Linked DNA regions of Macaca mulatta. The protein of the gene in region 1 binds, or shares a complex with, the protein of each later gene. Links are inferred from orthologs where the notes say so. Each region holds a gene or a part of one and is shown on either strand. Other genes may lie near its edges. The genes, in order: CKB and ASB9.

Region 1 (3,901 bases):
TACCTTGCAAAAAGCAGGCAGCAATTCAAGTTGCAGGCAGCGTGCGGACGCCTGTCTCCCCTCATTCCAACTCATAGCCAGCACTGGCTGGAGTCGATCTGGGAGTGCTGGGGGTAGGGAGAGGTGGAGTCACTGCTTAATTTGCATGACTCTAGTTATTCGTGAGATTTTTTTTTCTTCTTCTTCTTTAAATCGCATTTATGCTTATTGTTTATTAGCGTTTCCTCCCATCCTTGCCAGAAGTCTCTGGGGACTGCCTTTGGGGGTCGGGTGAGCTTGTCCCCTGCGAAGAGGGCCCAGGGTTGGGGTCTGGAAACTCCAAGGCTGCACTTGCCAGCGGCCTCTTAAGACCACAGTGTCCGCGTGGTTTCTGGCTCGCATTCCCCAGAGCCCCAGGACTTGTCCAAGGTCAGGGCACCGCGGGTGCCCCCGGGCTGGGCCGCAGCCAGACTGCGCCTCCCGCGCGCCTTCGCTTTGCACCAAGATCGCCCAGGAGATGCCTGCGGGCACCTTGAGGAAGATCGGCGGCTCCGGGCCAGCTCGCACTGGCCGGGGGTGGGGTGGGGGCAGTACCTGCTGCGGAAGCCCTGAACGCTTTCGCCCGGCCCCTCGCCGCCGCCGCGGGGGCTGGCTGGACTAGGCGGGCAGGCTGGAGGATGCGGATGAACCCGAGCGTCCTCGAGTGCCCAGAGGCTCTCCGCCTCAGTTTCCCGCTCGGAGGCAAGGGCGTGCGAGGGGATCCAGATATTCAAGGATCTGAGGTTTCGGCCTCGAGGTCTTGGGCGGGGGACTGGGCAGGCTGCGCGGGGTCCCAGCGGGGAGACGGCTCGGGTGGGCGGCCGGGGGTGTCAGGGGCTGCGGGCGGCGGACAAAGCGGCGGCACCACCCCGCGGCGCGGGCCAATGGAATGAATGGGCTATAAATAGCCGCCAATGGGCGGCCCTCGTTGCGTCCCTTAAGAGCCGCGGGAGCGCGGAGCAGCCGCTGTTCGCCTGCGTCGCTCCGGGAGCTGCCGACGGACGGAGCGCCCCCGCCCCCGCCCGGCCGCCCGGTGAGTGGGCCCGGGGGCCGGGGGCGTCGGCGCCGGGGCTAGGGGCGCTGCGTGCAAAGGGGGCGCGGGCGCTGCGGCGTCACGCGCTCCGGGCGCGTTGCCTGGAGCGCGCGCCGGACCGGCCGGGGGTCCCGGGCGATGATGGCGCTCCCCCGTGCGCGCTGCGGACCCCTCTGACCTTGGCCGCGTCCCGGGGGCGCCGAGGGGCCCGGCGGCGGGGGCCTGAGTGGTACGCGGGAGTCCGGGAACCCCGGCTTGCCGGTCCCTGCTGACCCCGCGTCTCCCCGCAGCCCGCCGCCGCCATGCCCTTCTCCAACAGCCACAACGCGCTGAAGCTGCGCTTCCCCGCCGAGGACGAGTTCCCGGACCTGAGCGCCCACAACAACCACATGGCCAAGGTGCTGACCCCCGAGCTGTACGCGGAGCTGCGCGCCAAGAGCACGCCGAGCGGCTTCACGCTGGACGACGTCATCCAGACAGGCGTGGACAACCCGGGTACGCGACCCCTCGGGGCCGGGGTCCCGGCGCCCCCTCCCCGCGCGCAGCCGCACGGTCCTCAGCAGCGCGCTCGGGCCCGGCAGTGACGTCACTGTCTCCGTCCCGCGCCCCCTCCCCTAGGCCACCCGTACATCATGACCGTGGGCTGCGTGGCGGGCGACGAGGAATCCTACGACGTGTTCAAGGATCTCTTCGACCCCATCATCGAGGACCGGCACGGCGGCTACAAGCCCAGCGATGAGCACAAGACCGACCTCAACCCCGACAACCTGCAGGTGCGGGGCGGCGGGCGGGCCGGGCGGGCCGGGCCGGGGTCTCCGGGCGCTCACTCCCGTCTCGCCCCCCAGGGCGGCGACGACCTGGACCCCAACTACGTGCTGAGCTCGCGGGTGCGCACGGGCCGCAGCATCCGCGGCTTCTGCCTGCCCCCGCACTGCAGCCGCGGGGAGCGCCGCGCCATCGAGAAGCTCGCGGTGGAAGGTAGGGGCCGGGAGGGCCAAGGGTCGGCGGCGGCTGCGTGCCCCTCCCGGCGCGGTCCCCGCCCGCTTTTGTTTATGTCGCCTGGGAGCGGCAGCCGCCGCCGCGCTCTTATCTGCGCGCCCCTGGGTTCAGTTTCCCGGAGGGACCGAGGGACGGAGGCCCAGCCCCGCGCCCACAGCGGCCTGGGGCCCAGGGAGGGCGGGTCCTGGCGCGGGGTCACCGACTGGGACCGTCGCCCGGGCCATGAGGACTGGACGCCCGCAAGTCTGGGCGGGTGGGGGCCTCTGACGTCCCCCGGGGTGAAGCACGGGGGCGGGCGGGTCCGCGCTGTGGGCTGGAGGGGCGGGCGCGGCAGCCGAGCGTCCTGAGCGCACGCCCCGCAGCCCTGTCCAGCCTGGACGGCGACCTGGCGGGCCGGTACTACGCGCTCAAGAGCATGACGGAGGCGGAGCAGCAGCAGCTCATCGACGACCACTTCCTCTTCGACAAGCCCGTGTCACCTCTGCTGCTGGCCTCGGGCATGGCCCGCGACTGGCCCGACGCCCGCGGTATCTGGTGCGTGTCCCTCTGCGCCCTCTCGCGGCGTCCGCCCTCTCCGCCGCCTCCCCTTTCCCTCTCGCCCCCCTCGCCGGGGTGGGGCCCCTCGCGGCAGGGAGGAGAAGGAGGAGAGGAGGAGGAGGAGAGGGAAGAGAGGAGGAGGAGGAGAGGGAGGAGGAGGAGGAGGAGGAGGAGGAGGAGGAGGAGGAGGGAGGGGCCGGCCGCGCTCCGGGTCTGGGTTACGTGCTGCGCCTCCCGCGCAGGTGACCTTGGCCGAGCAGGTGCGTTAAGGTACTGGGCCCAGGCCCCTGGGGGTTCAGGACTCAGCCCCTCTAGAGACGTGAGGTGGGGGCGGGGCCCCTGGCGCCTCTGCCCGACGCCCCTCGGGAGCTGGAGCTCCTTGTTTTCTCACTCCTCAGTCGCTGGGATTCTACCAGGGGCTGGTGACGCAGAAGCTTCTCCGGGGGCAGGGCTCCTACCCCCACTGTGGGGGGCGGGCGGGGCTGTCCTGGCGGTCCCTGGCCCTGCCCCACCTCAGACCACTGCACGACGTGATGGCAGCCGGGGTTCTGCTCACTGTGAGGCGTCTCGGCCCCGCCTGCCCCGTGTTGGGCGGAGTCTTGGCAGCAGCCCCTGCTCCAGGGCACGGTTGCGAGCAGCACCTCGGGGACTTGGGAAGTTCCTTTGGTCTGGGGACGGCCTGGGGCTTTTTTCTGGATATGCCCTGAGACCAGCCCTCCCGCAGGCACAATGACAATAAGACCTTCCTGGTGTGGGTCAACGAGGAGGATCACCTGCGGGTCATCTCCATGCAGAAGGGGGGCAACATGAAGGAGGTGTTCACCCGCTTCTGCACCGGCCTCACCCAGGTGCCAGGGACGGGGCAGGCCCAGACCCCAGGGCTCCAGCAGGGATGTGGGTGCCCCATCAGTCCCCCTGGGGGATTTCTGGGACTTGGGAGTCTCAGGGCCTGTGGGGGTCTCGGGCAGGCCTTCTCCCTCATACCCTTTTCTCCGTCTGCAGATTGAAACTCTCTTCAAGTCTAAGAACTATGAGTTCATGTGGAACCCTCACCTGGGCTACATCCTCACCTGCCCATCCAACCTGGGCACAGGGCTGCGGGCAGGAGTGCACATCAAGCTGCCCCACCTGGGCAAGCATGAGAAGTTCTCGGAGGTGCTTAAGCGGCTACGACTTCAGAAGCGAGGCACAGGTGAGCAGGGCGGGTGCTGCAGGCTTCCTGTTGGCCTTTGGACAGCCCTGTTTCCTCCGCCCTGACCTGCTGTCTCCCCAGGCGGTGTGGACACGGCTGCAGTGGGCGGGGTCTTCGACGTC
Region 2 (3,901 bases), on another chromosome or scaffold:
CTCGAGCCCAGGTGACAAAGCGAGACCCTGTCTCAAAAAAAAGAATAATATAGGTACATTTATGTGGAAAATGTAAATTGATAAATCTGCATACATGTGTATGCATAGAAATGCCTTTAAAAATGTGAATGACACCCCTCAAACTGTTAATAACAGCCACCAAATGTTTTAACTGAGACTCCGTAAATCTAAAACATCTAGTCCTCATCTTTGGCATTAAGACAAATCTGCAATCACTTCACAGCCAGTCTATGCTTGAGACTTAACTCAGAGCCTTCCCCCATGGGGATGAAAAATCCTCTTCCGCCTGGAAGAGAGGAACGGTGGGAGCCTAGAGGTGCCTGTCAGCCTGAAGTAGCACCCAGGGTGTGAGGCAACTGGGCTTATCTGAAAAGACATGGACACAGAGCATCCAAATTTTTTTTTTTTTTTTTTTTTTTTTTTTTTGAGGTGGAGTCTTGCACTATCGCCTGGGCTGGAGTCTCGCATTCGCCTGGGCTGGAGTCTCGCATCGTCACCTGGGCTGAAGTGCAGTGGCGTGATCTCAGCTCACTGCAACCTTTGCCTCCTGGGTTCAAGCGATTCTCCTGCCTCAGCCTCCCGAGTAGCTGGGATTACAGGCGCCTGCCACCACGCCCAGCTAATTTTTTTGTATTTTTAGTAGAGACGGGGTTTCACTATGTTAGCCAGACTGGTCTCAAACTCCTTACTTCGTGATCCGCCCACCTTGGCCTCCCAAAGTGCTGGGATTACAGGCATGAGCCACCACGCCCGGCCCCAAATGTTTTGTATAAGCAAAAACAGCAAAACGTTAACAAAATAAGTTGTAGTAATTCACAATGGAAAGATAGCGGGTCTCCTCCACATCCCAGGCCACCTAGCAATCCATTTTTCCAATTGCAACCGTTCATTATTTACTTAGTTAAAATAAAATGAGTGGAGGAAAGGTGAGGTAGGACATTTAGTGAAGTTCTTGCAACCGAAAGGAACAAAATGGTTCTTTCCAAAGGTACATTTTTTGTAACATATAGACACATTTTCCCATAAGAAACTCCCAGCACAATTGAAAGCACATGTGCAGATGGCCAGGGCGTGCTGTGCATGTTACTGTGCAAGCAATTCAGCAGGGCTGCTGCAAAACCAGCTTTCTCAGCTCTGGGTGCTCGGGCTTGTCTCCATAACAAGCTACCATGTAACAAACAGATCTCAGCAGGGTGAACAACAGTTGCAAAAAGTGAGCTGTTTCCTTCATCCCCACCCTGCTCCCTTCACTCTCAAAAGTTACAAACTGTGAGTTTCCTTCCTGATAAACTCCAAGGCTTCCTCACTGATTGGTCTCAGTTTGGAAAAGGACGTGACATCAGCAACTTCGCAGACTTAGGGCTGGAGGGTTCTTGTGGCCTCTGGCGGGCCTCCAGCCAGTTAGGTAAAGCGTGTGTGTGTGTGTGTGTGTGTGTGTGTGTGTGTGTGTGTGTACACGAGCGTGTGCCTCTCTGACCACAGGTAGCACTCAGATTACCCTGCCTGCTCTGTTCTTTGCTGCAGACCATTTGACCAGGACGTGTGCAGCTCAGCCAGCCACAGAACTGGAATTTTTCAGGAGCGGGGGAGCATGGAGTTTGGACTTTGCTGAGCAACTGAAGTGGAGCGCAGAGCTTGCTCACTTAGGAGAGAGCATCATGGATGGCAAACAAGGGGACATGGATGGGAGCAAGCCCGCGGGGCCAAGAGACTCTCCTGACATCAGGCTTCTTTCAAACCCATTGATGAGTGGTGAGTCATAGGGGCAGTGGAATCAGCCCTGGGGAGGTTGGCTAATGTGCTTAGGAGAGGAGGGTTGGGCAGTTTCAGTGGCTCTGTGTGAGGTGTCCATGGGTCTGTTACTGGGCAGATGCCCACAGGTCGCTGATATATATCCTTTACACAGCTGTTCAAAAATGTGTACACTTCTTTCTGCAGAATCCTACATACAACACAAATTCAGTTGTCCCAAATTATTCTCCAGTGAAAATTTCAGCTCCCAGGAATCATTCTTTGTGGGTCAGATGCATTATTTATTACATTAGAGGTTTGAAAGTTACTTACAAACAGGAAAATTTTTAATGCTAAAACTTTTTTCTTAATTTGCAAGTCTTAGGTGTTTGGTATTTAGGCGGGGCAGGGTTTATAAATGATGTTCAAACATTGAGCACTGATTGAGTCACTTTCAAAAGAGACAAAAGAGACTTTGTTTTACTTAAACATTGGAGAATCATCTTACAGGTATTCTCATCTGTCAGGTGGTGTCTGTGCTAACGTACAGAATGCCACAAATACACATTTTGGTGAGCATTCAGCAGGTGCTTGTTGGCTAAAAGGATTCAGAAAAATTTGTTTAGGCATTTGCACACAGGTTTTTATAAATAATAGTGTATTGGTTAGTAATATACTGGTTAACTCTCCAGCCCCAAGTCTGCAAAGTTGATGCCACATCCTTTCCCAAACTGAGACCAGTCAGTGAGGAAGCCTTGGAGTTTATCAGGAAGGAGACTCAAAGTTCGTAACTTTTGGAGAGCAAAGGGAGCAGGGTGAGGGTGAAGGAAACAGCTCACTTTCTGCAACTGTTGTTCACCCTGTTGAGATCCTTGGGGGCTTGTTATGGTGACAAGCCCCAGCACCCAGGGCTGGGAAAGCTGGTGTTGCCACAGCCTTGCTGAATTGATGTATTTATTATTTATTAATTTTTTTTTAAGACGGAGTCCTGCTCTGTTGCCCGGGCTGGAGTGCAGTGGCGCAATCTTGACTCACTGCAACCTTCGTCTCCTGGGTTCAGGCTTATATAGGCGGAGCACGGTGGTTTACACCTGAAATCCCAGCACTTTGGGAGGCCGAGGCAGGCGGATCGCGAGGTCATGATACCATCCTGGCCAACATGGTGAAACCCCGTTGCTACCTAAAATACAAAAATTAGCTGGGATTACACGTACCTGTAATCCCACCTACTCGGGAGGCTGAGGCAAGAGAATCGCTTGAACCCGGGAGGCGGAGGTTGCAGTGAGCCGAGATCCCGCCATTGCACTCCAGTCCGTGCGACAGAGTGAGACTCCGTCTCAAAAAAACCAAAACAGGCCGGGCGCGGTGGCTCACGCCTGTAATCCCAGCACTTTGAGAGGCCAAGGCAGGCGGATCACGAGGTCAGGAGATCGAGACCATCCTGGCTAACACGGTGAAACCCCGTCTCTACCAAAAAATAACAAAAAAATTAGCCGGGCGTGGTAGTGGGCGCCTGTAGTCCCAGCTACTCGGGAGGCTGAGGTGGAGCTTGCAGTGAGCCAAGATCGTACCGCTGCACTCCAGCCTGAGCCACAGAACGAGACTCCATCTCAAAAAAAAAAAAAGTGTGTAAATATATATACACACACACACACACACCTGGTATACTGCCCACAGCACCTGCTGATTAAAGGGGCAGTAAACAGGGAGAGACCCTGAAGTCAGTCAGGGTTTTTGTTTTTGTTTTTTTTTTTTGAGACGGAGTCTCGCTCTGTCGCCCAGGCTGGAGTGCAGGGGCGCGATCTCGGCTCACTGCCAGCTCCACCTCCCGGGTTCACGCCATTCTCCTGCCTCAGCCTCCCGAGTAGCTGGGACTACAGGTGCCCGCCACCACGCCAGGCTAATGTTTTGTGTGTTTTTAGTAGAGACGGGTTTTCACCGTGTTAGCCAGGATGGTCTGGATCTCCTGACCTCGTGATCCACCGGCCTCGGCCTCCCAAAGTGCTGGGATTACAGGCGTGAGCCACTGTGCCCGGCCTGTTTTGGTTTTTTTGAGACGGAGTCTCACTCTGTCGCACGGGCTGGAGTGCAATGGCGGGATCTCGGCTCACTGCAACCTCCGCCTCCCGGGTTCAAGCGATTCTCCTGC

Evidence for each region.
Region 2: the proteins of CKB (region 1) and ASB9 are in contact, whole or in part, in a cryo-EM structure (PDB 6V9H), measured with the Homo sapiens proteins. The link is inferred for Macaca mulatta from reciprocal best matches to the Homo sapiens genes CKB and ASB9. Residues at the interface, in NP_001814.2 of Homo sapiens: Asn63, Pro64, Gly65, His66, Pro67, Tyr68, Ile69, Thr71, Arg130, Arg132, His191, Val198, Ser199, Pro200, Leu201, Leu202, Leu226, Trp228, Glu232, Ile238, Met240, Asn286, Arg292, Gly303, Lys304, His305, Glu306, Lys319, Arg320, Gly321; in NP_001026909.1 of Homo sapiens: Leu25, Asn27, Pro28, Leu29, Met30, Gly31, Asp32, Ala33, Val34, Ser35, Asp36, Trp37, Pro39, Glu42, Ile45, His46, Trp60, Ala67, Asp68, His69, Glu75, Ala100, Asp101, Trp102, Val111, Asp133, Leu134, Ser165, His166.

Annotation. Positions count from the first base shown.
Region 1 is NC_133412.1:176,941,688-176,945,588, reverse strand, and holds the start of CKB (creatine kinase B-type), read left to right. Parts: upstream 1-1,002; 5' UTR 1,003-1,051; intron 1,052-1,341; 5' UTR 1,342-1,353; coding exon 1,354-1,546; intron 1,547-1,669; coding exon 1,670-1,824; coding exon of another isoform or gene 1,825-1,896; coding exon 1,897-2,029; intron 2,030-2,412; coding exon 2,413-2,584; intron 2,585-3,311; coding exon 3,312-3,435; intron 3,436-3,589; coding exon 3,590-3,779; intron 3,780-3,860; coding exon 3,861-3,901. UniProt on the Homo sapiens protein: Reversibly catalyzes the transfer of phosphate between ATP and various phosphogens (e.g. creatine phosphate).
Region 2 is NC_133426.1:14,924,604-14,928,504, reverse strand, and holds the start of ASB9 (ankyrin repeat and SOCS box protein 9), read left to right. Parts: upstream 1-1,241; 5' UTR 1,242-1,426; intron 1,427-1,440; exon of another isoform or gene 1,441-1,545; 5' UTR 1,546-1,679; coding exon 1,680-1,773; intron 1,774-3,901. UniProt on the Homo sapiens protein: Substrate-recognition component of a cullin-5-RING E3 ubiquitin-protein ligase complex (ECS complex, also named CRL5 complex), which mediates the ubiquitination and subsequent proteasomal degradation of target proteins.